Linked DNA regions of Rhinolophus ferrumequinum. The protein of the gene in region 2 purifies or fractionates together with the protein of the main gene of each other region. This does not show direct contact. Links are inferred from orthologs where the notes say so. Each region holds a gene or a part of one and is shown on either strand. Other genes may lie near its edges.

What was found.
Region 1: the proteins of NOP2 (region 2) and NOP56 fractionate together in Homo sapiens (co-fractionation; 3 studies listed by BioGRID and IntAct, with this or other methods). This does not show direct contact. The link is inferred for Rhinolophus ferrumequinum from reciprocal best matches to the Homo sapiens genes NOP2 and NOP56.
Region 3: the proteins of NOP2 (region 2) and RRS1 fractionate together in Homo sapiens (co-fractionation; 3 studies listed by BioGRID and IntAct, with this or other methods). This does not show direct contact. The link is inferred for Rhinolophus ferrumequinum from reciprocal best matches to the Homo sapiens genes NOP2 and RRS1.
Region 4: the proteins of NOP2 (region 2) and FTSJ3 fractionate together in Homo sapiens (co-fractionation; 3 studies listed by BioGRID and IntAct, with this or other methods). This does not show direct contact. The link is inferred for Rhinolophus ferrumequinum from reciprocal best matches to the Homo sapiens genes NOP2 and FTSJ3.

What each region holds. Positions count from the first base shown.
Region 1 is NC_046306.1:24,887,485-24,895,165, reverse strand, and holds the start of NOP56 (nucleolar protein 56), read right to left. Parts: upstream 3,107-7,681; 5' UTR 2,999-3,106; coding exon 2,996-2,998; intron 2,842-2,995; coding exon 2,752-2,841; intron 2,402-2,751; coding exon 2,287-2,401; intron 1,745-2,286; exon of another isoform or gene 1,677-1,744; intron 1,518-1,676; coding exon 1,356-1,517; intron 1,183-1,355; coding exon 984-1,182; intron 875-983; exon of another isoform or gene 743-874; intron 610-742; coding exon 422-609; intron 340-421; coding exon 188-339; intron 1-187. UniProt on the Homo sapiens protein: Involved in the early to middle stages of 60S ribosomal subunit biogenesis. Required for the biogenesis of box C/D snoRNAs such U3, U8 and U14 snoRNAs. Part of the small subunit (SSU) processome, first precursor of the small eukaryotic ribosomal subunit.
Region 2 is NC_046293.1:23,811,304-23,819,355, forward strand, and holds the start of NOP2 (probable 28S rRNA (cytosine(4447)-C(5))-methyltransferase), read right to left. Parts: upstream 3,014-8,052; 5' UTR 2,871-3,013; intron 2,596-2,870; 5' UTR 2,592-2,595; coding exon 2,486-2,591; intron 1,472-2,485; coding exon 1,426-1,471; intron 1,297-1,425; coding exon 1,208-1,296; intron 1,034-1,207; coding exon 789-1,033; intron 1-788. Other genes in the region: CHD4 (chromodomain-helicase-DNA-binding protein 4), read right to left, coding at 4,479-4,496, 4,671-4,834, 5,569-5,764. UniProt on the Homo sapiens protein: S-adenosyl-L-methionine-dependent methyltransferase that specifically methylates the C(5) position of cytosine 4447 in 28S rRNA. Required for efficient rRNA processing and 60S ribosomal subunit biogenesis.
Region 3 is NC_046297.1:13,945,447-13,951,602, forward strand, and holds RRS1 (ribosome biogenesis regulatory protein homolog), read right to left. Parts: upstream 2,070-6,156; 5' UTR 1,964-2,069; coding exon 869-1,963; 3' UTR 585-868; downstream 1-584. UniProt on the Homo sapiens protein: Involved in ribosomal large subunit assembly. May regulate the localization of the 5S RNP/5S ribonucleoprotein particle to the nucleolus.
Region 4 is NC_046304.1:42,404,538-42,411,608, reverse strand, and holds the start of FTSJ3 (pre-rRNA 2'-O-ribose RNA methyltransferase FTSJ3), read left to right. Parts: upstream 1-4,041; 5' UTR 4,042-4,163; intron 4,164-4,245; exon of another isoform or gene 4,246-4,397; intron 4,398-4,466; 5' UTR 4,467-4,492; coding exon 4,493-4,559; intron 4,560-4,726; coding exon 4,727-4,832; intron 4,833-5,113; coding exon 5,114-5,160; intron 5,161-5,281; coding exon 5,282-5,361; intron 5,362-5,792; coding exon 5,793-5,892; intron 5,893-5,982; coding exon 5,983-6,177; intron 6,178-6,255; coding exon 6,256-6,371; intron 6,372-6,487; coding exon 6,488-6,592; intron 6,593-6,677; coding exon 6,678-6,778; intron 6,779-7,020; coding exon 7,021-7,071.

The DNA.
Region 1 (7,681 bases), on a different chromosome or scaffold from region 2:
AGAAGGATTCAAGGAATCAGTCACAGAAGCTGGAATGGCCAACCTGCCAACTGCACAATCCTGCTTCACCTCCCCCTGACCCCCCTTCAAGGGCAACCGTGGAAGACATGGCAGGTCAGGAAATACAGCAGTACAGATATACATGGTAACATTGCTCAATCCCGTTTTTTCATTCTCCACGACGCACCGCTTCCCCAATTAGGGCCGACAGGCTGGGGGCTACTTGGCTCATCTTGGATCGCAGGTAAGTGTGCAGGCTCTGGCGGTACTCTGACAAAGACACCACACGACTGGAGAAGCTCTCGATGTTTATCAAGTCGATGGCTGATATGTCCATGCCTGAAGGACACCAAATGTGAATGCAGGAGCCAGATATTCAGAGCCCTGTATCTTACTTTGGCCGCCAGGCTTTGGTACTGACCCATGGAGGACCGCGAGGCATCCAGAATAGCTTTAGCTTTGGCCCCATCCATCGTCAGCTCTTCCAGCTTCTCCAACTTTTCTTCATTCAACTCTTTTCGGTTCCCAATGAACTGAGCAACGCGGCAGTAGGTAGCGTTGTCACTGATGATCTTCACCAGCTCGGGAAAGTGATATCCATACCACTCCCTGCAAAGAGCCCAATCTCTCCCTCACCCAGCTGCCATGTCTCAAATAAATAAAGCCACAGCCTCAGTTGTTTTCACAACTACTCTTTGCCGGGAGGAAGTGGGAACAAGTCAGATCCCAAACCTCCTCAACTCCATGTCTCCCCATTCACAATACAGACCAGGTAAAGGGCCTGGGCTGAGGTGTATATGAGGTGGGTTTATTCTGCCTCCTCTTTCTGTACAGTCAGTGTAAAAACACAGCCTGTGGTAAGCACCGGGAGGCCCAGCCCCACCCCACAGTTCTACCCATAGGAGCCAGTCCTCATCTCACGATTCAAAACTAGCTAAACCACAGGCCACAGCCCCGTTCTCAAGGGTTGCCCCGTACTTTACCTGACACGCATGGAGAAGGTGTTGATGTCCTTATCTAGCTGGTCCAGGAGGCTAATGGACTGGATAATCATATTGTCCACCCGGTTCACATTAAACTTAACTTTGGCACGAGAATAGCTGTGTCCCAGCCCCAGCTGGGCTTTACAAGCAGACAGATCGGTCAGCCCCTTCACCAGGTTGTGGAAGTGCAGACGAACTCCTGGAGGAGGGCAAGACTATGAGCAACGAAGGGCTCTGAGCTAGCTCCTGCACCCATGCGCACCAGCCAAGCAGGAGGACTTACCAGAAGCAACTTTAAGCTCCCTAATATGTTTCCGGAACCCCCTCAAAGATGTCAAGAATGGCATGAATGTTAACAGATAATTGTCTCACCTCGAAGGATTTCGGCTATCACGCCTCCAGTCTGGCAGTTGTACCCTAACTCTTCTTGTATAGCAGCACCAATCTTGGGGTCCCCAACCCCCAAGAGTACTTTCTTCTTTTTGGATGGCAAGTGAGTCTCCAAGAGCAGGCGGAGGTCCTCATGAACAACACCTCAGGGCAAAAAACAGAGCTCCCACTAACAGATTGAAGGATGCTTAAACCATAAAAGGGATCCCGTGTCCTCAACTGCTGATTAAGTGACAGACTGTTCTTACATTGGTCCAGCAGAGCATGCTGGGAAGGCATGCCTAGACCCCTCCCCTTCAGGCTTTGCTCAGAGACATGGAGACATCAGTGATTGCACTCAGGGGATTGACAGACTCAAGTCATCACTGCAAAGCGTGAATGGGTCACGGGAAGAACAGGACTCAGGTCCAATAGTACAAGGTGAAACGCATAACTGAAAGCTCAAAGCACACCCCTGAGCACCATCAACTACTAAAGTATTTAGCTCCAGATTTGCCTTCTGGGACCAAACCTTTTTCTTGGCTTTCATGTATGAAAAATGCTCTTTCCAATCAATTAAACCAAATAGTAGAGAACCACTTGTAAAGGTTTAGCACTGAACCAGTACCACCCCCCCCCCCCCCCCCCCCCCCCCGCCATTGCATTTGAGAATCATTTATCACTAGAGTTCACAGGGTAAGACTGCATGCTGGATTGTGTGCTTTAAATATAACATTCAGACCAGGAGCTCTGAAAGACTATTTTAAATCACATCCTGTACACATCAAATACCATCCAAAACATAATCAGATTTAGAATAAATTAGCCGAATAAAGGCAAATACTATCATCAACTCCCTAGGAGAAGAACTATACAGTAGGAGGAACTATATCTCTGCTTAAATCTCTGCAATACTTGGAGGTGGCCGACTCACCTTCAGACACAGCGTTGGCATTTTCCAAGGCAATCTGGGACGAGGCAAAGGGACTAAAGGCCACGAGACGAACGAGGTTGTGGAACTTGCCTAAGTTGAGCACGCACTCCTCCACCTGGGGGTAGAAAAAGGATGGGAGGTTCCTTCCCGCGCTGTCGCCTCTAGGGCGCAGTAAAGCAACGGTTCTCAGCCCTGGACGTATATAAGAACCAACTGAACACTTGAAGAATGAACCGATCGATTATTTGGCCCTAAATCCCGGTTCTTCTTCTTGGATACTGAGTGGAGGGCCGGACGCTTACTTCTAAATGGTCCTAACGCGATTCTAGTCTCGAATGCAGGTAAGGAACCCCTGCTCTGGAGCTTTCAGGCTCAGCGCACCCACAACGCGAGCGGCCGGCCACGTGGGAGCGCGCAGTGCATGCTGGGGACCGTGTGGCCCGCAAGCCCACCGCTTCCACCCACCTGCGGCAGCAGCAGGCTGATCTCCTCCACCTCCTTCAGCGCCAGCAGCGCGTAGCCAACCGCGTGCTCGAACAGCACGTGCAGCAGCACCTGGAACGGGAGTCAGGGCGCCAGCGTCAGCGTCAGCGCGGTCCCCGCGTTCATCTGGCCCCGCTCCCAGGGCAGGCTCCGGCCCTGGCTCTGGTCCGAACCCAGGCCCAAACCGCGGCCTTCTCCTCTCCCGCACCCCACAACCACTCCTCACCATGGCGCCCGCTCCTGGCCCGGCTCGCAATGCGGCGAGTGGGCTCTGGCGCGCAGAACCAGGCTCCGGAGGCCACGCCCCCGCGCCGCCGGCCAATCAGAGGCTGGGGACGATACCTTTCCGGCTGTTCGGAGGGGTCCGCGGGATGGTATCGCCTTAGCTTGGATGGCAGTGGAGGTGGCGCGAGCGCGGGCAGGGTGGCCTTTTCCGGCCTCAGCAGCGGCGCGAACTGACGCAGTTGCCGCGGACGCGCGGGCCGGGGCCGGGCCCTGCAGGCCGCAAGACTGGACGGTTTGGAAAAACGCTTTTCTGGATGATAGTGCAGGCCCTAATTTTTTTCATGATATAAATTCCGGGCCGCAAGGCTAAGGTGACATCGGTCTGGAGGCCCCGCGCTAGTCGCGGCCTCCGTTCCCAGATAAACTTGCCGAGCCCGCTTTCCGCGGCGCCGGTGACCTCAGGCTCCAGACCCCCCCGGCTCCCCGCATCCCCCAAAACCCCTTTCTTCCCGCCACTTGGGGACAACCCTCCCAGAGCCCCATGGCCGCGCGCCTTTTCCTCCTCTTGGGGGACGGAAGCGGGACCTGGGGTGCGCTGACGCAGTCACTCCTCGTGGCTGATTTTGTGTTTTTAAGTTGTATGTTATGTATTATTTTTTAAAAATGATGGTGGCAGGCGATAAAATAGAAAAGAAAGACGATTCCACGTCTTCTAGGTCAGTTTCTCCTTCCTCTTGAATAGAACCCAGCTCCTTTGCCGGGACCATGTGTTGCTCATCCTGTTGAAGGGCCCTTAAATCTGAACACCCGGTTCTCTCCGAGTGAACTGGAGCTGCTGCCTTGTGCACGAGGGTGGCTTTTGGAAACGCAGGCGACTTTCGAAATTACCTTTGCTTTAATAATTAATATTGAAACCTGGTTATCCTAAAGTAGTATGTATGCTGGTAAATTTAAAACAATCTTTAAGGGGATTTTTATAACTTAAATTCCTATAACTAAAGTACACTTACAAATGTAATATATTCTTTCTTTTTAAGCAAGTCAGTTACTTGACAAAAATCCGAGTACTGAGCTCACTCTTAAAACCCAACATATTAAACTTAAAAATATGTTGGTAAATCTTAAAATCTCATAATCTCAATATTGCTTGCAAACATGGTTAAATTCTGTTATATATATATCCACTTACAATTATGAGTCTGAATCAGTTCATTTCACATTTAAAAATGGAATTGCAAAAATAATCTGTAATGTTAAATTCTCTTAAACATTATAAATACCAAATTAAATAGTTGGCTCCTCAAATATATGGTGATGGAAGGAGAACTGACTCTGGGTGGTGAACACACAATGGGATTTATAGATACTGTCATACAGAATTGTACACCTGAAATCTACATAACTTTACTAACAATTACCCCAATAAACTTGAATTAAAAAAAAAAATAGGTGGTTCCAAAATGTGATGGAGAATATTAATGCTATGCCTTTGATTTACTTCATTATTTCTATACTTAATCCTAAATATTCCCGGAGTTACCAGTGCGTATCTACTAAGGTAGGAGTTTTCAAAGAAGTCAGAGTCCTTTAGGGGATTGCAGAATTAATTTAGACATTCTTGGCCAGCATTAAAAAAAAACACAGGATGAATGAGAATAGGAAATAATAGTACGTCACATAGAGTAAGGGTATTGATTTGTAAAAGTTTTGTCTCGGGTAAACATACACATACACATATGTATATAAATATACACATAGTATGTGCATGTAGAAACATGTACACACACATATATACATGTATATACATATATATATGTATATATACATAATGAAACACATTTCTGTGGATTAAATACAAAAAGCCGGAGGAGTCACTGAGCTGAAAGCTAACCAAGTCATATTTTAGATAAATGAGCATCTGAGTCTAAGCATAAGAACCAGGAGGGCTGATGTCCAAGGGGCGAAGATGGATGTCTCAGCTCAAGCAGAGATAGAACCAATCTGCCCTCCCTTCTTCACCTTTTGTTCTGTTCTGGCACTCAAAGTATTGGATGATGCCCACTCACATTTGGGCAGGCCAGCTGTTTTACTCAGTTCACCAATTTAAATACCTATTGCATGCCAGTTATCTTTCTAGGTGTAGGGATACAGTAGTAAACCAACAAGTCACTGCCATCATGGAGAGTACATTCTGTGGGGAGATGGAAAATCAAGTAAATATGTCATGTATCAGGTATTGATAAGTGTTAAGGAATCTTGCATTGTTTCACAGAGGTCCTCAGTGAAGAGGTGACATTTGAGCAGAGATCTTAAGCAAGGGAGTAAGCAATGCGGAGATCTAGGGAAATAATAAAGACAATGGTAATACTAACTCTTGACCTCTGACTTCAGAGATTTTGTAATCCAGGGAGACGGAACATAACCAAGTGCTGAAATGTAGTAGTATGGGAGGCTGACTGGAAGACACTTTGGGGGGAGCCTGGGCTCCTGAGGAAGACTTCAGGGCCAGAAGGGGTTTTACCCTGTTTCCCCAAAAATAAGACCTAGCCGGACAATCAGCTCTAATGTATCTTTTGGAGCAAAAATTAATACAAGACTGAGTTTTATATTTATATTATATTAGTGTTATATTAAAGACCCAGTCTTATTTTACTATAAGACTTATTTTACTATAAGACTGGGTCTTAAATTAATTTTTGCTCTAAAAGATGTATTATAGCTGATTGTCTGGCTAGGTCTTATTTTCAGGGAAACAACGGTAGGTATTTATGGAAGAGTGTGTAGGTCATTAAGATTGATGGAGGAAGGAGAGTGGAAGCAAAAACCAGAAATAACCTGCTAGAGGTGTAAGGTTCATCCTGGTCAGTAGTTGGACAAAGAACATGAAGGATCTAACATGTAAGACGCAGAACATAGGAAGCCTTGAATGAAGGCCAGGATGAGTGACTTGGGTCTGATGAGAGTCTTATTTTCCATCAAGCATTGGTTGATTAGAGATTAGTTTGGAGGTGATGTACAAGACAGATTTCCCAAAAAGTTCCAGCTGAGAAAATGACCTGCACGTGCAGCAGAGCTGAGGGGGAGCTGTGGGTTTCCCAGGCCTGTTCCAGACTCAAACTTTAAAGCCATGTGGCACCTGGGGCCTTTTCTTTCTCGGTAGATAGGACTATTCACCTATTGGGAAGGATCATACAGACACGGTAGCATCTATTCCTCTTTTATTTAGCCCCGTCTATGGCTCACTGTGTTATTTTGGTGTAAATTAACTCAGAATTTTTACTCTGAGCAATGGGCAACGCTAATGGAGACCTATAGAAACGGAATGTGCTACAGTCATGTGCCACATAAGGACAAACCTTATATATGATATGATGTGGTATACCAGATAGCGTAGGCTATACCATCTAGTTTGTGTAAGTGCACTCTCTGATGTTTGCACAATGATCAAATTGCCTAAAATTGCTTAATGACGCATTTCTCAGAACATATCCCCATCTTTAAACTGAGTATGATTGTGTTTAAACGCCAGTACTGGGCAGAGTTTCAGGAAAGGAAATTGCATGAAATAACCACAAGATGGCGGCACTTCATCCTCATTTTGCAAATGAGAAAACCGATCAAATTTGAAAGGCTCCTAGCAATTCCTCAGCCCTTTTCTCAAATGTGGAAAGAAACCCTGCAACAGTCTTTGGTAATGAGTTATACATATAGGCAACATTTCTTTCCATAGACACACAAGAATGAAAAGCATCCGAGGAATACCATCTAGGCCAGCGTTCCTTGTCTTTTTGGTTGCAGCTAACCACAGTCATGTTTTGGTTATGACTCTGAAGCCCAGAGTTGATTAGGATTATAGTGTAAAAGTTTTGTTTAGTTGATGCTGTTTGTGTTCATAACCGGAGGCTGAGGATGTTTGATCTTATCCATGCCTGTGATAATGTCTGTTATTTACCGATCACTTAGCATAATGCTTGGTTGGCACTTTGGGTGGGGCTCTATAGAGCATATCTGAAGTGACTTGACTAAATTAAGAATCACCAGTGTAGTGAATGCTGTTGGTACCCTGCCCAGGTCCCCTTACTGGCTGGTGCATCACTCTCAAGTTTCTGTGAGTGTACAAGTCATGGGGAGATCAGGGGTCCCCCTTGATCTTCACCGAAAGTGTGTTCCTGCTTATGTGAGTCTGTATGAAATGGAGCTCTTTATTAACACTGAGCATGTAGATTATCAGAAATGAAAGGATCCACCTGCAAAAATAGCTTCCGAAAGATAAAATTCAGTGTCTGTTTTATTTCCCCACAGTAAGGAGTATACAAACAAACTAGGGTAATATTAGTAAGACACCAGTTGTAATTCTCCGGATAAATTGTTAAATAGACTCCCTAGTTTAAATCATTCTTGGGTGACCTGAGGAAATAAAGAGAAAGGGTGAGGGGAGGAAGGAAAGTAAGAAGGAAGGAAAGAAGGAAGGAATGAAGGAAGGAATGAAGGTAGGAAGGAAGGAAAGCAGGAAGGAAGGAATGAAGGAAGGAATGAAGGTAGGAAGGAAGGAAAGAAGGAAGAAAGGAAGGTAGGAAGGAAGGAAGGGAGGAAAGATGATGGTCTTCATGCCTGATGGCCCCTGGACAGGCTGAATAGTGAAGTTTTAAGATGGAATGACCTGGAATGTCAAACCCAAGAACGCAGA
Region 2 (8,052 bases):
GCACAAAAATTGCTCTTGGGCATCCATTCTGCCATGTTTTCTTCCAGATTTACTCTATATTTTTCACATCATTAGAATCATGATGCATTTTCAAATTTGTTTCTTGCCTTTTCTCATTCACAGATCGCAAGCATTTTCAGACATAATGGCGAAATGTTAATTTAGCATATGAATGAACCATAATTTACTTATGCCTATTGGGTACTTTAGAATTTTTCAGTTTTTGGCATTATAGTCCACAGGGTGCCTCAACATCTCATAATAGGAACTCTGCAGAGAGAAGGGGTGTTGTGGGAAAGGACTGCAAATGGGAACTTTCTTTTTGTTCACAACTCTGTATTGCTTGAATTTTTCTAATAACACACCCAAAAACTAGTTGTGGAATACATAAGTAATTTCTTACACCTAAATAAACCAGCCCACATTTTGGATCATCTTCCTAACGGAATAACTAAGTCAAAAGGAAAACATTTTAAGGTTCTCAGATACCAAATGCTTTATAAAACGTGTGTGCCTTTCTGTTCCCATCAGTGGGATATACAAGTGTCCACTTTACCACATACTCTCACCAGCACTGAGCATTCTCATATCTAAAATGCTTTACTACAACTTTTTAAAACTTGCATGTGCACCAAGAGGACGTAGAGGTGATAGGAAAACAGTGACGACACATTGAGATCCCTTTTCTGTACTCAGGCTTATCTTTATCCTTGTCACTGAGGGATAAGGATTGGGAAAGACTCTAAAAGGCAAGGCTCCCTTCCTGAACACCCAGAGAGAACTCTCACCTCTTCACTTTCACGGTCATCGTCATCCTCTGAGTTGGAATCAGCTCCATAGTCATCCTTCATGTCAGCATCACTGTCCTCTGAGCCCCACAACTCCCCCTGGTTTACCACACCATCTTCTTCACACTCCTCCTCTTCCTCATCACTGCCATGAGCTGGTGCCGGGCGCTTCTTGCCTTGAGCAGCGTTAAATAAGGACTGGGCTCCCTTCTTCCCAGGTGTCCGGACAGCTCCTGCAGAGACCCCTAAGGGTTTGAAGAATCCTGGACTGATGATAGCCACACACTGATGGAGCCTGTACTTTCTACCCCCAACGATGTCCTTTGGCTGTTCCTCTCTCCAGGAATGCGCAGCAAACCATTCCCTACCCAGCACCCACAGGACACCTCATATAGCTCCCAGCAACTATTTTCACTGACCTTTTGGTAGCTTTCTAGTCAATGGGTTGGCACTAGGACACCTACTCGTCTCAGGGGCTTCTGCAGAGCCCAACCTCCTTTTAGCTGCCCTGAAAAGATATAGGAGTGAAGAAATGCAACATACTTCCAGGTTCTACCATTTCCCATCACAGGAGATCATCTGGCTGAAGACGTACAGTACCAATTTAATCTACGTAAGACTGGACATCCACACTCACCTCTTTCGAGCACGACTAGACAGTCTTTTAGAATTTTCATCACCAGCTATAATAAAAAAAAAAAAGAGGCAGAACAGGAGGTTACAGTGCATATGAAAAAGAACAAAGGTAGAGGAAATAAAGTGGGGAGAGAATTAGTACACTAATGAAAGGGAGCCAACTGTAACTCACTCTACAGTGCTCTCCCAGGAGCTGAATAAGAAAAGTAAGGAGATGATCTCACCATCTCACCAACCAAATCCAAACTGGGCCTCCCTCCCGACTTCTGATTTCAATAAATAATACATCATCCTGATAACACATTCAAAAGTTATCTTTTCTTCTTCTTCCTTTCCTTTTTCCTCAATTTAATTGGTTACCAACCACAGCAAATTTTACCTTTACAACTGCTGTTTTTCATACACGCTCCAAGAAACAAAAGGTTTAAATCTCAGCACTGTCATTTACTAACTATATGCAAGTTACTTAACCTCTCAGTATCCATTTCCTTAACAGTGCCTCTCTCACAGGGCATTAAGAGAATGAAGTGATACAATGTGTGCAAAGGTTCAGTATAGTGCCTAGCACTTGCTAATACCTCAATAAACTGCGTCTGTAATCTAATGTGCAACACAAACTACCACGGCATCTTCCACACAGACTATTCACTATGTGGAAAGCAGGCCTGTGCTTTCCCATCCCCATCCCCTCCACAGTGCAGCTCACAGTGACTAGCCTGTCCTTTTCCCAATTTCCACTTGTTCAAGTGTCACCCTTTTTTCAACCCTGATTCTTAAAATCTTTAAGTTCTCTAGCTGCATGGAACCGCCCTTCCTCTGAACTTCTTCAATGTTAAACTGCACCCCTCCTTGCATGGGTACTTGTGTCCTTGTCGCATCTTCCTTAAGTTCTAAACGCTGATGACAGTGAGCGTTTCATTCATTCTTCCTAATAACTCATACAAAGAAATTCCACTTGAACAGAAAGTAAACACAGAAACTAAAAAAAAAGGAGGGGGTTATAAATACAAATGAAAGAACGCGTAAAAGCTGGAGAATCCAGAAGCATACCTGACCCTTACCTGTAGGCAAGAATCTGGCGAGTTCGGTCTCGGCACCCTTCTGTTTCCGGGCCTTTCGGCCCGGCCCACGCTTCTCCTTCTTCGTCGGGTCCAACTTGCGCCCCATGGTACTGAGTGGGAAAAGAAAAATGGGAGAAGGTGGAGTCGCGCGTATTGGAAAGGGAAAGGAAGACCGTAGCCTTAGCGTATTGGAGTAAGAAAGGGCATCGTCTCGACCAGAATCTCGACTCAGCACCCCCAGCAGCCACGGGAAGCCTGACCAAACCTCCCTTCACGATGAGACCCGAATCCCACGCCATTTGTACTGTCTCCATCATCATGCCCTAGCCCAGGTCAGTACTCCCTTCCCCGCCTTCCTCCGGGGCGATCCGAAGCCTCCGCTCACCCGAAAGCGGGTCCAGGCCCGAGACACCCCTTCCGTACGAGGTACAGCACTCCACGTGCAATCCGAAGCTAGCGTTCCAACGCCACCCACCTAGGAAACGTTTCACGCAGGCGCAGAGCGCGCTCGCCTCGTGGCCCCGCCTCTTCCGGTCGCTTCCTGTCGGCGGCAGAAACCGGAACGTCGGAGCGCCCTGGGAACGCGCGCGAGGCTGTCCGCGGTGCGGCGGGTGGAAATTCGGCGGCGGACTGCTCCCCTCTTACTCGCCGAGGATGAAGGCATGGGGGCGGAACCGTTTTCGGCTTCCCCGCCCTGCCCTCCCGGCCTTGATTTTTTGTCTCACTGCAGATTTCAGTCAGAAAAACTGGTACCTGAAAGCCGCCCCCCACCCCCCGCCGCCCCAAACCAAGAGGTAATAGCGGGGCGCTCCTCCTGGCACCCTCTGCCCCACCTCAAGATCAAGGAATCCGGTCGTTTTCCTTCTCCCGACCCTTTGATTAGGAAACCCTCTTCCTTAACCCGAGACCCCTGCTCAGCCCTTCAGGTAAGATTCCTCTGCTTAGGTTCACATCTGGAGGCCCGGAGGACATTACATGCTAACTTCACACACGAAAAAGAACCTTAAGCATTCCTTCAAATAAGGACTAAGGTAGTGCTTAGTAGCTTTAAAAACTGGTTTTCTCTTCCCAGCTCTATGAAGAAGGTATCTTTATTTTATACAGAACTCCCAACCCAGAAAAGTTCACTTCCTCAAGGTCATACAGCCATTAAATGGTAGTACAGGGTATGAACCCAGGTCGTTTTGAAGCCTCTCATGTTCCATAGGATGCCACTTGCCTTGGTCCAGAGCACACAGGGCACATGCACACAGACATGAAATGAAATGGCTTTTGTGGACTATCAGAACACAAGAAAAACTTTCGTTTTCAATTACACATTTCCCAGGGCTCCGGTCATACACATTCATCCACTTGCACCTACACCCACACTGAACCAGAGCACTAAAATACAAGGAAACTTTTATTTTCAATTTTCATCAAGAAATTTGCTGTGGCTTTATGATTTTGGTTCTTGTCTTTTTTTTTTTTTTTTCTTTTTTTCCCCCATTTTATTTCATTCTAGCCGTGGCTGGAGCCGCTGGGTTCCTGGTATTAAAAAGATGCCAACAGAGGTAGCTGTGTCTCGCCCAGGGGCCCGGCCCACTCTGAATACCCCAAAAAAGGAGAAAAGAAAACACAAAATAAACCAACAAAATAAAACAAAAAGGAAGAAGAAATTCAGATCGTTTTCTTCAAGCCTGGCAGAAACCCACAACAGTTTGTGTGTAACAGATGTTACAGTGGGGAAAGCCAGGGCCCAGAAGGCGGCCAGCCCGCCAGCTCCCTGCAGATGGCGCCGGCGCTACTGCTGCACTGTCTCTCCAGCAGGAAGGGCACCACTGCCCCTCACTCCCTTCCCTCCCCCAGTACAGTGGGGGCTGTCCCTTTACAACATGGAAGATGGGCAGAAGGAAGGAGAGGGTCTCTCAGGCCGCCAGGGGAGAAGCTGGGCAAGGGAAAGTGAGGAAGGTCACTGCTCAGCGGTGGAGGTGTTTATCATCAGTCTGGATCTTCACTGCTGCTGGGCTACCTATAGAATAGAGAGAGCCACAGGAGTCAGAATTCCAGACCACAGGAATCCACCAGATCCCAAGGGGACTCACTAGTAAGACAGCCCCATCTGCCCAGTTAGGGACAGAGAGCAAAAGTTACAAGATCCAGAATGGCTCTGCTGGAACAGCAGGCTAGCAGAAAATGGTCCTACCTGCTGTGGAGTAGGGTCAGGTGCTCGGTTTGCCAGGCGGCTGAGAATATTACGCTCTGACATCTGTAGCCTCACAGCAACTGGGGGAATGCGAGCAATAGTAGCTGGGAGTCGAGTAACATCTGCTTTCATGTCACTCAGCAGTTCTTCTAGCTGTTTCAGAACTGCACAGGGAAATAAAAGAGGTGGTGAGCTGTGGTGGTCAAGACAGAGATCCTTTTTGCCATAGTGGATCTGCCCCCCATGACTTCTCAATGACTAAGTGATTGATTGGTGTGCTGGAGTGTTTTAATATTGCCTTTTATCAAAGTCATCTGACCTGGCCTCCACCATGCTCAAATTTCTATTCCTATTCCAGTTCCGCCAGTCCATGATTCTATGCTTTTTAAAGTCACCTAATCCTGTCCTTTGCTCCCACTGTCTCTATTTCTTCAACTTCTTGAGAAGTTATTCTTGTTGTTTCATTTTTTTCACTGTCTTTCCTCACCTTTTGGAGCTGTCTCCCTCTCCTTAGTAACAGCCTTCTTTTCCTCACTTCACCCTCCACCCCCCCACACAATGTTTTAACTTTAATCAGAAACAAAATGTTGAATTTGATTGGATCTTAAAGACACCTGAAGTCACCTCTAAAGTATCCCAGATGACACTATATTATTCTGCTTTGCTTTCCACCTCCAACAACTTGACTATGTTAAGAGTTAAAAGAGGCAACGAATTACTGTCCTTGATTGCCTCTAAGATAATCACTTCCCAAGGAGGAAAGCACCAGATCCTCAGCACATCCTAAGCTCCCAAAGGGGCTCTGAAAAAACATTATGGAAACAAGAAATGTGTGTTGGGGGAGGGGCAGAGGAGGAAGGATGCTGAGTCAGCAGGAGGCAGGGGAGCCACTGGCTACCTTTGTGCAGGACCGCATTGGCAGGTTTGTTTCCTGCCATTGACTCCTTGGACAGGTGCTGATGACTCTCCGCTAAACACTCCACCTCAGCAAAGCGGGTGTTTAGGGCCATGGAAGGGTGAGAGGGGTCCTCTGACATGTTCAGATAAGCTGCACGGCGCAGCTGTTCCTCAATCACCAAGGCTTGTTCTAGGAGCTGGACAAGGGAGAAAGAGGAGATGGGAGTTGGACTGACACTCACTTATTTCTGATGGGCCTCAGAATCTATAAAGAACCTTACGACAGCTCCCCCACATCCAAGCAGTGCAGCATTGCATTGTCCTTTTTCTTTTTTTTTTTTTCACTCCCTTGTGGAGGTCCACATCTTTAAAACTCTTTACCCTTAATTGATTCACTCTTATACAAAAATGATAAACTCAATTTAGAAAATACAGAATGTATAAAGAATTAAAGTCACAATACCACCTCCTAGAGATAACATTCTAAGGTTTTTCTTTGTATATATATTCTACATAATTGAAATTATATATATATGAATATATGTGTTTTCATTCAGTTACATAGTAAGCATCTTCCTTTATTACTGACTGTACTTTATAAGATTCTTAATGGTTGCACAGTAGTCCATCCCAGATATACCTACCTTATCATTTCAACTGTTTTACTCTTTAAAATTATGTTTCTACATCTCCCATTCCTTTCCTTCACCATAGATAATCCTTCTAATATATTGACTGTATGTTTTTTTGTGAAATACTTGAAGACTGAGTATTGTTTCATGTGCACATTTCTAATTTACAGAATAATGTTCAGTACATGTAAAATGCTTTTTTTCCTTTCTCCATACATATCTTTTTAAAGGGTTCATTTATGTTGTTATATCACATGCATTTTGTTGCTTCTAGCTGTTGCTTAGTGCTCCATGATATGAATCCACATTTTACCGATCTGCACTCCCAATGTTGAACAATGGTTGCCTCCAGGCCCCACCACCAAAAATTATACTGCAACAAACTCTTGTACCTGTCACCTGATGGAGCTCTGTAAAAGGTTCTTTGAAATATATTCCAAGAGACAGAATGTTGATTCAGAAGTTATGAGACTTAATTTGCTCAAGTATCCACTGGTTCTTAAAGAGAATGAATCCATTAGGGGTCAGGAAAAAGGACAGTATGAGAATAATGGGCTATTATTTCAACAAGACCTGGCTCCATCAGGGCCTACTAATTTATCCCCAGACCAAGTATGTACTTTTTTTAAATTAAAAAACATTTTAATTACAGTCGACATACAATATTGTATTAGTTTCAGATGTACGATATAGTGATTAGACATTTACATAACTTCCTGAGTGATCATCCTGGTAAGTCTAGTATCTACCTGACACCATGGTAGTTATTACAATATAACTGACTATATATTCCCTATGCTATACTTCACATCCCCGTGACTATTTTTTTTTAATTTATTGGGGTGACCAAGCATCTACTTTCAATCTGTACACCCTGTCTCTTGTACCAACTCCCCCCCAAATTATGAGCTTTCTCCAGGATAAGCCCCTGGCTTGCTGCTGTTCTATTAAAGCATTCTCCCAAGAAATCTCTCCTCTCCTAGCATCAGCCAGCAACTTTATACAAATGATTTGATGCTTTTCAAACCTGCAGCTCAAGCAGTGACTGTTCTGATCCCACTCATGTATGGATGAACACTCTTTGATCCCACTTGTTTATTGTGAAGGGGGTAGTGGGAAGGTTATCTGCGTGAGCTCGTGAGAAACACCAAATGAGTTGCCTAAAATTGAACTTATTCTTTTCTACAAACTGTTTCCTCACTTCCAAGATCTGCCATTGATAATTTAACTTTCTCAGTGACTCGAGCTCAAAACTTGTTATTTTTGGAGTCTCACTCCTTTGCATCTCAGATTTTTTTTTTTTAAGTGTGTTTTTCCAAGACCCATCAGCTCCAAGTCAAGTGGTTGTTTCAATCTAGTTGTGGAGGGTGCAGCTCACAGTGGCCCCCTAGATGTGGGGATCGAACTGGCAAACTTGTTGTTAAGAGAACCGCGCTCTAACCAACTGAGCTAGCGCTCTAACCAACTGAGCTAACCGGCAGCCCCTCCTTTGCATCTCAAATCCAGTAAGTCAGGAGTCAGCAAACTATGACAGGGGCCACATCTGGCCTGCCGCCTGATTTTGTACGGCCCAAGAGCTAAGAATGGTTTTTACATTTTTCAAATGGTTGGGAAAAAGTCAAAATGAGAATAGTTTGTGACACTTCATAAAAATATGAAGTTCAAATTTCAGTGTTGATAAAGTTTTATTGGCACACATTCATACTTACTCATTTATCACCTATAGCTGCTTTCACACTACAACATACTTACTCGTTTATCACCTATAGCTGCTTTCACACTACAACAGAGTTATGTATTTGCAACAGAGACCATTATGTCCCACAAAGCCTGAAATAGTTACTATCTGGCCC
Region 3 (6,156 bases), on a different chromosome or scaffold from region 2:
ACAAACCAGCTCAGATGAATCAAGATGTTTCAGTATGGATTTTGTGGGTTTTCTCTTCCCCAAAACAGACCCTATTTGAACCTTTACAAATTCAGGGACATAAATGTTGACAAAGATTTAAGTATTTTCTGGATTAATGAGGATCATTACCCCGTTATTAAACTTTATCATTTATAGCAAATCAGTGTTGAAAAGCATGACTCTTTTTTTCAGACACACCAGTTACACTTTCAATATTTGATACCAAAAGAAGCATAAATTTTTCTAAACTAAGTGATCTCACTGAAATCATAATTTAGCTGTTTTGTGTTTTTTAGACAGTAAATGAAAATAATCTGTACCAGGCATTCAAATCACTGGCTTTACTTAAGATTTCTACCAATAGTCAAGAGTTAAAAGCAACATTAGATACAGATACACTTTTATTAAATAACAAGTTACTTGTAAGGCCAGTTTTGAAAATGTAATCTTTCTGTGTGCTCGACCCCTCCCAGACACACCTGCTTTGATAAATACACAAGCTTGTTAGAAAAATAATACAGAAATCAATCTAAGTCTCTGAAATATGACCCTCACACCATACACAAAGTTAAAAAATAGAATTTATTCCTAGTTTCTACCAAATTCTTTCTCTAATTTTTAAGTCGTCAACTACATCCTTTACATCTCCAGCCAAAGTATTGGTTGTGGGAAAAACATTAATTTGTAGAGTCCAACATTTACATAGACTATCTTGAGGGGAGGGCAATCCTATCCCTTCAACCTCAAGCTCAATGAAGGCAGCCCCCTTATTCTGCATCTTCCTACAGGTCCTAGAAGTTAACATTTAGTGTAGTTCTTGGTTTACAGGCAGGTCCGAGGGTGAAATTTACTTCCTCCTCTTTCCTCCTTGGTGTAGCCCTCCTTTCCTATTGCCACCCAAGCGAGGTGGTCCGGAATTCATCTTGCCGCCCAAGCCCACTTTTCTTTTCCCTCCTTGGCTGGGCGGACCCCCTTTCCTCTTGCCTCCAGGACCCTGTCGGCCTCCCTTTCTCTTGCCCTTTTGGCTCATTTTCCTTCTCTTGGCCGCCTCCTCCTGTTCATCCTCTCTCATCTGCTTATTGGTGGCTCTCGTCACGTCCAGCTGAGGCTTTTTGCTGTTCATGAGTCGCAGCATCTCCAACTGGCTGTTTTTCTCGGCTGCAAAGTCCCCGAAGAGGGGCTGAAACTTCCTCTTCTTGCCGGAGCCCCGGGGAGCCTTCTCCTTGGGCAGGCGCTCCTGGAAGCGCCCCACTGAGGCGGTGGAGACCTTGGCTACCTGCAAGGCGCGGCCCAGCTCTTTCGTACTCTGGTGTCCCGTAGGGTGCATGCCAGCCGCGCTGGGCAGCTGTGTTTTGTGAGCGCGGGCTAAGTTACGCAGCCGGTTCAGCTCGTTCTTGGCTACCCGTTCCTTCTTAGCTTGAATCCGCTTGGCGAACTGGTCCTCCAAGGGGTCCGCACTGCCGGGCACTTCGATCAGCCATTCCTTGGTATCGTCGCGGGCGCGCTGGTAGCCCCAGCGCCGCCGCCACTGGCCGCTCACCTCGTCCCACACCAGATTGGTCTTCTTCTTGGGACGGATGCCCTTTAGGCGCGCGAACTGCTGCCATCGTGTAAGCGGCCGGGGCCGGGGCACCGGCTTCTCGCGCGGCAGGCGAGTGGTGGGCTCCGGCAGCTGCGCCACCAGCGCCTCCTCCACGCGCTCCGTGGGCAGCTGCCACAGCTGGTTGATGAGCAGCTGCGTGTTGTCCCGCGCCAAGGCCCGCAGTTCGGCCTCCGGCGAGGGTCCCCCGCGCAGCCCAGTGGGGGGGTTCCGGTCCAAAGCCAGCAGGTTACCCAGGTCGAACTCCAGCTCCAGCTCTTTGTGCACCGTGATGCGCTGCAGCTTCTCTGCCTCGTCCCGCTCCGCCTTTGCCAGCAGCTCCTCTACACTCTGGCCCTCCATAGTTTCGGCTGGGCTCACTCGCTCCAGGAAACCAGTTCAAATAACTTCTCCACCAGCGCCGGCTAAAACTAAGGCAACACAACCACGTGCGACCACCCAGACGCTCGCCCCGGAAGAGAAAGCTTCACTTCCGGAGCAACCGGAACTGGTGCACAATCCGGGCTACTCCAGGAAAGGCCGGCAGAGGACGGTGTTGGAGAGCAGATGGCATTCTTGGTGGCGCTTTTGGCTCGAGTCCAGATGGAGGCGGAGCTGGCAGGTGGGGCGGCGCAAATTCCTGGGGCCACATGTTGTGAGGTTCCGGAGCGACTCTGTCACGATTTCAGTGAAAGTGCGTTCTCAAGATGTTTAGCTAGACACATTATTTCACCAGACCCGCTCATCAGGGTCGTGGGCTTGGAACGAGACAAATGATTTCACCGGAGCCCCGACCCGTTCATGGGGGTCGTGGGTTTGGGCCAGGAAAGACACTTTGCACAGATGCAGGTGAAGCTAAGTGTAGAAGACTTGGTTTGCTTTGGGAGTGAGCGGGCTTACAGACCGCCCTGAGTGGGCGCGAGTGTCCGCCCCCCTCAGCTTGCTGAACGCCGGTAGCCCGGAGCCCGGCTCACATCCTCTCCTGACGGTGGCAAAAGAGCAACCGGCTCTGTGGTTCCACTGCCTGGGTTCCAATCCTGACTGCCCGTGTTTGACCTTCACCTTTAACTTGTTTGGGCCTGATGTAAAACCTGTAACCTCCTCAGGGCTGTTACAGAGATAAATGGGTTAATATGCCCCCCAAGGGAGTTTAGACCAGGGCCTGGAATATGTAAGTGCTCGATAAATGTTAGCTAAATACCAGCTATTATTTAATCTTCATAATGGCTCTGGGAGCTTAGCCAAAGAGGCAGTCTTAAACAGTGATTAAACACCAGGTTCTTGAGTCAGACTACCTAGAATCAGATCTAGGTTTACTATACCTACCTTGGACAGGTTGTTTAACCTAAGTTGTGATAACTTGTTATCATAAGTTTCCGGTACACGGTAAGCACTCAATAAATCTTAGCTGTTGTTATTCACCATATTCCTCTAATGACAAAGGAAGGCTCAGAGAGGTAAAATGACTTGTCTAAGGTTATACAACTAGGAAATCTGGCAGCAGGAGGTAGCTTACTCAAGGCTTTAGGACTACATACATATTCTCTGTAATGTCTTCCAGGCTCTCCATACTTTAAAAGTGCTCTCTGGATCAGCATTATAGCACCGGCGGGGAGTTTGTTAGAAAGGCACAATTTCTGGCCTCACCCCAGATGTAATAATTCAGAACCTTCATTTTAGTAAGATCTTTAGGTGATGAGCATGTATAATCAAATTTGGGAGGCACTACAGACTTGGCGCTGGTTGTGTGGTTTACAGGTTTTATTTTCCTTTCAAGGGAGGTTGGGCGTAGTAAAGGGAGTTATGCTGGAGAATTAACCTATAGATATGGACATAATATCCATTAGGAAATAAATTCAGTTGAGTTCCTCTTAGGGCTTTAGATTCAGCCTCATCTGTCATACCTGTCCCGAGTTTGGTCTCCTCTTGAACTCACTGTCTTTCCTCCAATCTCCTTTGTTCATTTACTCATAAACCATTTAATGAGCACATTTTATGCTTCAGGCATTGTGCTAGAATCTTCTTTCTTTCTCTTTTCTAAAAGGGTTTTAAGATTTGCCAGGGTTTTCTGAGCCTTTACCTTAACACTCAGCGCCAAGTCTGTAATATCTCATCCCCTGAACCAAGGCCGGGTCAATGACCAGAGTAGGTAACTGCTGTTAACCTTAAAGCTTCGGGGATTTGCTGTAGGAGGGAGTTAAGGACATTGACAGTTGCTCTGGACCTGGCTTAGCTTCTGATTCACTCATTCATTTAACAAACATTTGAATGACTACGATGTTCCAGACATTAGATGCAAAGATTATTGAGACGTTATGGAACAGTGGGGAAGAAAGAAAGGTAAAGAGAAATTTACCATATGGCATGATTGGGCTTTTAATAGGAAGTGCAACTATGTAGGATTTAGCTCCTCTGTCAATATTCTGAGTTAGGAAAAAAAGCGCAGATGTCAACAGGTCTTGAATGGTATGAATTCTCACTGGATGAAATGCTATTTGGTTTGAATCATACAGGTCAGCTCTCAATTGGACTCTACTTGTTTTATGTTCAATAGGGTTTTTTTTTATTCCAAGTGGAATTCAATTTCCTTGATGACTAGAGACTGATTTTTACTCACTTTGCTGAGCATAGTGCTGGATACGTAATAGGTATTTAATACATGATTGCTTGAAAAAATAAGCTTATTAAATAGACTTTTCTAAATTAAAAAAGGATTGATGTTGGCTATGTTAGATTTAAGGTAAACAAAACTATTAAAATTGGAAATTAATGCTTTAAAAAAAATCTTACTGAGACAAATAGGTAAGTGGAGGTCTCTAGCTTGCATTTGTATCATCTTTATGTTAGGCAAGTTTGTGCAGTGTCAAGAAAAAGAGGGATGTGCAAATATACGTGAAATTATTTTAACAGTACAGCAAAAGGTCGCACATATTGTCTTTTCCCTTTGCCTTTTCTCTTTGTTGGTTGCCCTTCTTCTTTTTGTCTCATAATGCAGACAGATCTCTAGTTTGGTCATCAGATCCTCCGTGTTTTCTCTTTATACCTGCTGTCTATGCCATTTCATCCCGTCTCATGGTGTCAGCTGCCTTTATTGTGTAGGTGGTTCTTAGAGGTACATCTCTATCCCTTTCCTTTTCAGAGCTTTAGGCTGAAATCTCCAATCACTTGCTGGGTATTTCCACTGTAAACTCAGTATGTTTAAGGCTACATAACATCCATTCACTTCTTTTTCCCCAAAAAATGTTCATAGAAGGCCTTTCATGCCCAAGATACTGTGCTGGACATTGGAAATACAATGGTTAGTAACAATAGGCTCAGTTGGTGTTATTGTCATTCTAGTCTAGTAACTTAGGCTTGAAACTATGACATCATTCTTGACTTTTCTCTTTCCATCTCCCAGTCCATCCAGGTAGAAAGTCCTGTTAAATTTGTCCTTGTGTATATTGTACCGTTTCTGTTCCCACTAGCAGGACCTTACCTCTAGACAGGGTCTATTCATTGGCTTCTCTAGATCCTCCCTCTCCACTCTGCTCTCTGCCCCTAGCTTCCAGATGGGTGCCACCAGCAGGAGATCTGAGAGTGTGACGAGAGTAAGGTAAAGCGCTGTGTGCCCCCAGCCCTCTGCAGATTGCTGTGGACTGGCTCGTTCCTCTAAAAGGCCATAATTCCAATCAGGCAGCACTCTCCACCCTCTTCTACCTCCTGTAACTACTTCCCTGGTTCTTGTAGGCCTTAGAATAGACACAGCTCTTGCTATTATAGCACTCTTCTTTTTGAGTTTCCTTAAACTATGCCCACATCTTTGTAATATTCCCTTTGTTGATCTTTCTTAAATTACCCAGATTGACTGCTACCTGTTTTCCTGCGTGGACCCTCACTGATACCCAGGGAGCTAACCCAGCAGCATCCCAACAGTTTCCTGCCTCCATTCTCTCTAGAGGACAGTCCTGAAGATTTATCTTCTACAGATCTGGCCAAGTCACTTTTCTCAAAAGCTGCCTTCTCTGCCTAACAAAATGTGATTGTACTTGGTCTCGGATGTTCATGATCCGGCCCCAAACAACTCTTTGTACTCACATGGCATATAGTGCTCTTTATGCTTATTTTCCAAATATTTCTTCCCCGTTCCTATTTTCCATCAACTGCCTTTCTGCAACCTTAAAAACATTCCTTAAAAAAGGCAAATATGAGGTGCAGGAAAGAAGAAGCAATCATTATATTTTTGTAGTAACTATTGTGAAGGTTTCCATTAACAAAAGTGAACCTATAGGGAGATTCCCCTGCCCCCAAAATCCCCCCTTCAACCAGGGACAAGAAGGGTAAAGATACGAAGGTAATACCTTTCCCATTTCCACAAAACATAACTACTTTGGTCAGTAAAACATTTTTGTAAGCAATTTCTCATTCTTTTGATACTGCATTAACTTAGATTTAGTTTCTAACGTTTCTCAGTTGCTCATTTTTGGTAGCGGAAGTTGTTAGGGATGATTCAACCATTTTTTCAGCATAGTTGTTTTGAGTATTTTTGTCTAGGAAATTCAATGTGCCAGTAATTT
Region 4 (7,071 bases), on a different chromosome or scaffold from region 2:
GGCAGAAAAGATGGGAGCCTGTACCTTGGCTACTGCCATCTCAAAGTCCTCCTGTGTGACGTGGACTCGCCGTCCCGCAGGGCATACATGCCAGCTTCGGTACACACACCCTGAGCAGGGAAAGGAAGACAGAGGTGTTGCTGTGCCCTTGAACCCAGAGCCTCCTACCTCTGCCCCCTTTCCCTTGGGCTCTCCAATTACCTTCACTTCAGCCCCTGATGCCCCTGGCATGAGCTCAGCGATTTTTCTCAGGTTGATCCCACGGGTCAGGTTCATTTTTCGAGAATGGATCTTCAAATGTCCAACCGAGCCTAGAGATGGGAGAGGAAAAGACCTGAGTGAGCCCCACCACCTACCCACAGCCAGAGCCACTCCCAGCACTGCCCATCACGAACCTCCTCATTAGGGGGTGGAAATTCAATTTTTCTGTCGATGCGCCCTGGGCGAAGCAAAGCCGAGTCTAGGATATCAATCCTATTAGTAGCCATGATAACCTGAGTACAGAAAGGGTGTGGCATCAGCTAAGTCCTTCCTCAGGCCTCTCCTCACTTCACCCAGGGCCTTCCCTGGCTCATCCCATGGCCGACAGCACCTTACCTTGATATTCTTGGTGGCCTCAAAGCCATCCAGCTGGTTGAGCAGCTCCAGCATTGTGCGCTGCACTTCACTGTCCCCTCCAGAACCCCCCTCCAGCCGTGAGGAGCCAATGGAGTCAATTTCGTCCATGAAGATGATAGACGGAGCGTGTTCTCGTGCCATGACAAACAGCTCCCTCACCATTCTTGCCCCTGGGTCGAGGGCAAGCTGGCGTTACGGAGCTGATGAGCTTCCTACCCTAACCTCCACCCCCTCACTTCCACTTGCTTTGCATGTTTCTAGCCACAATTACCTTCCCCAATGAATTTCTGTACCAATTCAGAGCCAGAGACACGAATAAAGGTGCAGTCTGTATGATGAGCCACAGCCCGGGCCAACAGTGTCTTCCCAGTACCTGGGGGTCCATATAGAAGCACTCCCTGGAGAGAGACAGCAGGACTCAGGGCAGAAAGCCAACCCCACATTTCATCCCCAACATTTACTGAGTGCTTGCTCTGCTAGACCACACCAGACGCTCAGGGATACAGACAATGAACACCAAGGTCCCTTCTGCAGCTTGTATCCCAACGGCCTCAGCACCCGGCAGCACCTCTGTCCCAGGCCCTCTTCAGCTCCCCTGCACCTCCCGGACCCGTTTGGCCTGTGGTGTACACAACAGCGTGGTCCCCCCACAGAAGCCCTGCTCCTCACCTTAGGCTGCGCAATGCCCAGCGCTTCAAAGAGCTCAGGATGCTTAACAGGCAGCTCGATGACTTCTTTGATCTCTTTGATCTGCTTGTCCAGTCCGCCAATCATCTCGTAAGTGGAATCTGGCACCTTCTCCACCATCATCAGGGACACCAGTGGGTCCACCTTGTTGGGCAGGATCTTGTGCAGAGTGTAGCTGTCATTTCTTAGAGCCACCCGGCAATTGGGTGTCACCTGGGCGAGGGGAGAGCATTTCAGGATCTGGTGTGGGGACAGCTGACCCCAAGGTCCCCACCTCACCTGCTGTACTCACATCATTGATGTCAATGTTCTTGTCCACGTCCACGACAAACTTGCCCTCAGGATGTACCTAAAGAAACAAGTGCTGAAGCCCTTCCCTGATAGCCACCAAGTCACCAACCTCACCCAGGGAGATCCACAAGTCCTAGAATAACGTGGCAGAACAGCGTCCTCACAAGGCTACACACAAAGGTCTGGGAATGCAGCGGGTGGTCCCTGGGGTCATGCTGCCTTTACCTTAACTAACACTTTCTTCTTATCCATGGCCCGGACCACTTCCCCTACATAGGAGCCCTGCTCCTGTAGCAGCTGTAGCTCTTCCCGCAGCAGACGAACTAGATGGGAAACACATAGTGGTCACTCAGCTTCTTTGGTGTCCCCTCCTCCACCATTCAATTCAATATGCATGAACTAAGCACCATTTTGAAGTTCTGAAGGGAAGGCCACAAAAAGTCAAAATTCATGTCTTCAAGGTGGTTACAATGGGGCTCGGGAGAGAGCTCTGCACGTGAACTTTGTAACAGTGCAAAGCATCACCTTGGACTGGGGGAAAAAAACGCCAGTGTGAAGACTGTTCAGCGAGATTTGAACAGTCAGACCTCAGACCAACTGCCCACATGCAGCCTTCCCATCTTTCTCTCCTCACCTTTTGCATTAAGCTCATTCCTTTGTGCCTGCAGCCTCCGGAGATTTTGGCTCTTATCATTCACAATCAGCTATGGAGGACAAGAAACAAAGGGCAGAAAACAGGTTAAGATCTTAGCCAAGACCTTCAGAGGCTGGTATGAGCTGAGTGAGGAAAGAGCACAGGGCACCTGCATGTTGTTTCAGATTCTCCCATATGATTCTAACGACCCTGGCCTGCCCTCCAAGAGACCCTCTGGAGCCTAGGGCAGCCATCAAAAAATGCTGCTTGTCTAACACTGGTCCAGGAATAACAAACCCTATTGGAAAAAAGTTACACCTGGCTCATGTAGTCAATTTCTTGCAGGACAACATATCAACATGCTAGAGTGGGAAGATCTCTTGAGTCAGAAGCCTAAGTTCTAGTCCTCCTGCTGCCAATAAACAGCTAGAGAAAGCTAAGGAAAGCCATTTAAAAGGTCTAGTTCTGTTAACAAACTGCAAGTGGGCATAGCATCACCCACCTTGCTTCTTTTTAGGACTGTTGTGAGAAACAAATGAAATCACATGTAAATAAATTTCAAAAATGATAAATCAACTATAATACCTATAAATGTACCTGGAATTCAAAAATATTCCCTGTGGCATTCCTCCATCCAATTTATATCATTTTCCTTACTTCTATGGTCCCCGTTCCCTCTTCAGGGAGCAGTGGGTCACCCAATTCCTTTTCATTCAGTCCCATGAAATCAGTCAGCGTTGTCCAGACTCCTCAATTCTGTCTTCTGTTACACTCTCACTCTGTCCCAACCCCTCTCTGATAAATCTCATCTGAGCCCCTATCTTCCCTTTTATTGGATACCCTCTCAATCAGGCTTCTTCCAAAAGAAATGGCCCTTGGCTAGGGGTACCTTTTCTGCTTGACTCTTGAAGGGGTAACAAACTATTACTTCTTCCACTGCGCCTCCCAGTGGAATTATATGGATTTGTAAAAATCTCCATCAATTCTTCATCCCCGCTTCTAGTTCTCTCTGGACTTCTGGAGTCCGTCCTTACCTGCAGTTCTTCAATCTTGGACAGATAATATTGGCGGAGTCCACTTCCTGCCTTCCCCTCTTCCAGCTCCATCTGAAGACACAGTGTAATTATTAAACAACAGGCTAGCCCTCCAAAGAATAAAACCACCTCCAGTTTGGACCTTGGAGGTTTAAGATCTGGGTTCCAAACCCTCACTCCAATTGTTCAGAACCCTTCACTTCCTCATGACTAAACTAAAAGCAGACTGAGAATGCCGCCTACTTCATGAGACTTGCAGGAGGATCAAGAGACGATATACACAGAAGCGCTTTGTACCGAGTTAAGCGCATAACAGACCCGAGGTGTTATTACTAGAGGCGGAGCCAGTAGGAAGGACGGGTGCCCCGTCCCCTACGACTCGCTGATGGACCCGTTCCCGCTCCCATTGCTCCTCACTCCGCTTTCACTGTGTCATCCTCTCTTGGCCCTGCCCCGACCCGCCGGGCGGCGCTGACACAGCAGATCCGGTCCCAAGCAGGACCCAATCTAGACTGGTCCATCCAACCCCGACCCACCCGACCCTCTTTCCCCGGCCGGCGGCCCACCTCGGATCACGCCTGCTCCGCATCCAGCCCCGGTGCCCGCCCGGCCGCCGCCGCCGCCATACCTGCTCTGGCCCGTCAAGCGCCATCTTTCCCCTGTCGCGGAGAACGCCGGCATTCGGCCGCCTTGGCGCGCAGGCGCAGAAGCAGGGCCTTGGAGGCCGAAGACCGCGGCAGAGAAGAGTTCCGGGTCAATGGGCGGGGTGTGCGAGAGACGCTAACAAATAACAGGGGCCATGATAGGAGGGGTCTACGCGAGGTCGGGAGCTTTCGAAGGGGCTGACGAGAGCACAGAACTCCTAAGAGTTGCTCTCTAGAAACTCTGTTTTAATCCAAGTAATATGCTCCCTTGGTCCCACCTTCCAACTTATAAAAGCCGGCGACAGAATATATAGATAGCTTTTTTTAGTGTGTGTGTGGCCACACCCCAAATGGCGGAAAACGGGGCCCCGGCGCAAGCGGAAGCGGAAGTACGTTTGGTGCCTCCATGTGCCGTCCAAGAGTGGTGGAAGCGGCGTTGGCTGGTGTTGAGTGGTGTGGTTAGCTACAGGGCAGAGTGTGATTGCCTCGGTAAGTGGGGAACGGACACCGGAATCTAGTGCTTAGGGAAGAGACGTTCCAATTCTCCTTTCTCCCTAGGTTGAGTGACACTCCCCCGTTCCACCATGGGCAAGAAGGGTAAAGTCGGGAAGAGCCGGCGGGACAAGTTCTATCACTTGGCAAAGGAAACTGGTGAGTCTGGGTTCGCGCCTTCCGCGAGCTAGCGAACGAGCGACCTTGTTGAGTTCGTCCCCCTTTCCAAACATGAGTTTCTCTTCCGCAGAAAGGGTGGTGGGTGGTGAGTCTGCAGAAATCCCGCTGGGAAAGCACTCCGCGGACTTGTATTTTGTCGCCCCCAGGTTATCGTTCCCGCTCTGCCTTCAAGCTGATTCAGCTGAATCGCCGCTTTCAGTTCTTGCAAAAAGCCAGAGCCTTGCTGGATCTGTGTGCTGCGCCAGGAGGATGGTGCGTAACAACCAGCACCTGTCACCTCTGACAGCCAGCTTTCTAGGTTCCAGCCTCGGGTGACTGAAAGTTGCATTGGGGGAGGGAGTAATAACAATAATACCAGCCTCGATTTCTCTACTCCTCAGAACATACACTGCAGAGAAAAAGTTTGGAAGTGTACATAGGACATGCTCTGGCCACTGCGCTTGGCCCGGCTCCTAACACTGGGGGTGACAGATCACATTGCCACAGGTAGAGGGACAGTCCTAGGTATTTTAATCTTTATTCGTGTTTTATAGGTTGCAGGTGGCTGCCAAGTTTATGCCTGTGTCCAGCCTTATTGTGGGTGAGTGACAGGTGGCTCTCCCAGGTGTTTTAGGGGTGGGAGTATGAGGTATTGTGTTCTACATTTCCTTTCTCCCTGCTTGAGGCAACATTTTGGAATACTTGGACCTGATTTCTTTCAGGGGTGGACCTGGTTCCTATCAAGCCTCTTCCCAATGTGGTGACACTCCAGGAGGATATCACGACAGAACACTGTAGGCAGGTGGGGGAAATCTCTTTCTTCCTGTCCCCTTTATATGTAAACATCCAGTTCTGTGCCACTTCCCACCCAAATCTTCTGAAGGCAAGATTTTTCCTGTTTACCATGGTTTGAGCAGTGCCTGAATGATGTCTGTAAGCCGGGATATGCCTCATGTCTGTTCTACCTTTTATTTGGTCAGGAACGAGGTATTTGAAATTAGAAGAAGTGCAGAGATTTTAATGAAATCCTTTCCAGTGGACTTACTAGTAGACCATAAGCTCCATGAAGACGTAGACATATCATTTTTGTCATCATATCCCTTGTACTTGGTGCACTATTTGGCCCATGGTGGGCACTCAACAAATGACGGGGTGGACAAATGGCTGAATCGGGGACTCCATTTGTAGCCATTCCTGTGTTTCTATTGCCATAATCTCTTTCCCTCTCTATAGGCTTTAAGGAAGGAGCTGAAGACCTGGAAAGTTGATGTTGTGCTCAATGATGGGGCCCCCAACGTCGGGGCTAGCTGGGTCCATGATGCTTACTCACAAGGTGCCAGGAGTCGGGCATGGAGGTGAGGGTAGAGGTGGGCATGTCCTCTCAGGCTGCAGAGGTCTTCAGCTAACCATTTCTCTCCCACAGCCCATTTGACACTGATGGCTCTTCGTTTGGCTTGTGATTTTCTGGCCCGAGGTGGCTGCTTCATCACAAAGGTTTTCCGTTCCCGTGACTATCAGCCCCTACTATGGATCTTCCAGCAGCTGTTCCGCCGTGTCCAGGCCACTAAGCCCCAAGCCTCTCGCCACGAGTCTGCAGAGATCTTTGTAGTCTGCCAGGGTGAGCATCACTTCTTTCTCTCTTGACTCAGTTTCCCAACTCCCAAAGCACACTTTCTGATGTATCTTATCATCTTAGGATTCCTGGCTCCTGACAAGGTTGACAATAAATTCTTTGACCCCAAATTTGCCTTCAAGGAGGTTGAAGTCCAGGCCAAGACTGTCACTGAGTTGGTGACTAAGAAGAAACCAAAGGTGCATTTGGGGAATGTGGCCACCCTCAGTTCCTAGAACTCGGGAGATTGGGTCTGGAGGGTCCTGACAGACACCCCAGAAGGGACTGCTCAACCTTCTTTATTTCCCTCCCTAAGGCTGAAGGCTATGCTGAGGGTGACCTCACTCTCTATCACCGTACCTCAGTCACTGACTTCCTCCGAGCTGCCAACCCTGTTGATTTCCTCTCCAAAGCCAGTGAAGTGAGTCCCCAGACTTGAGGTATAAGGGAACCCCTGAGACATGGCCTAAAAATTTCCTTTGACTTTTACTGCTCCTCCCAAACAGATCTCGCTAGATGATGAAGAATTGGCACATCATCCAGCTACCACTGAGGACATACGGGTGTGCTGTCAGGATATCAAAGTGCTGGGGCGCAAGGAGCTTAGGTATGCAGTGGGGTGGGGGTGGGTGTAGGTGCCAGGAGCCCCAAAGGCAGGGAAAGGCCTGTGAAGGCCATGACATTGGATCTCTGGGAATAGGATGCTGTGTGCTGGGCTAGAGGTTTGGGGTGGGGTCCTGAGCCTAGGGCTTACATGACTCAAACATGAAATTTGGGGTGTAGGCCTAAAACAGGAGGGGCAGAAACACAAAGGGAGACAGTAAGGTCAGTAATGGTATTTCTGGGCAGGTCCCTGCTGAACTGGAGGACGAAGCTTCGGCGGTTTGTGGCCAAGAGGCT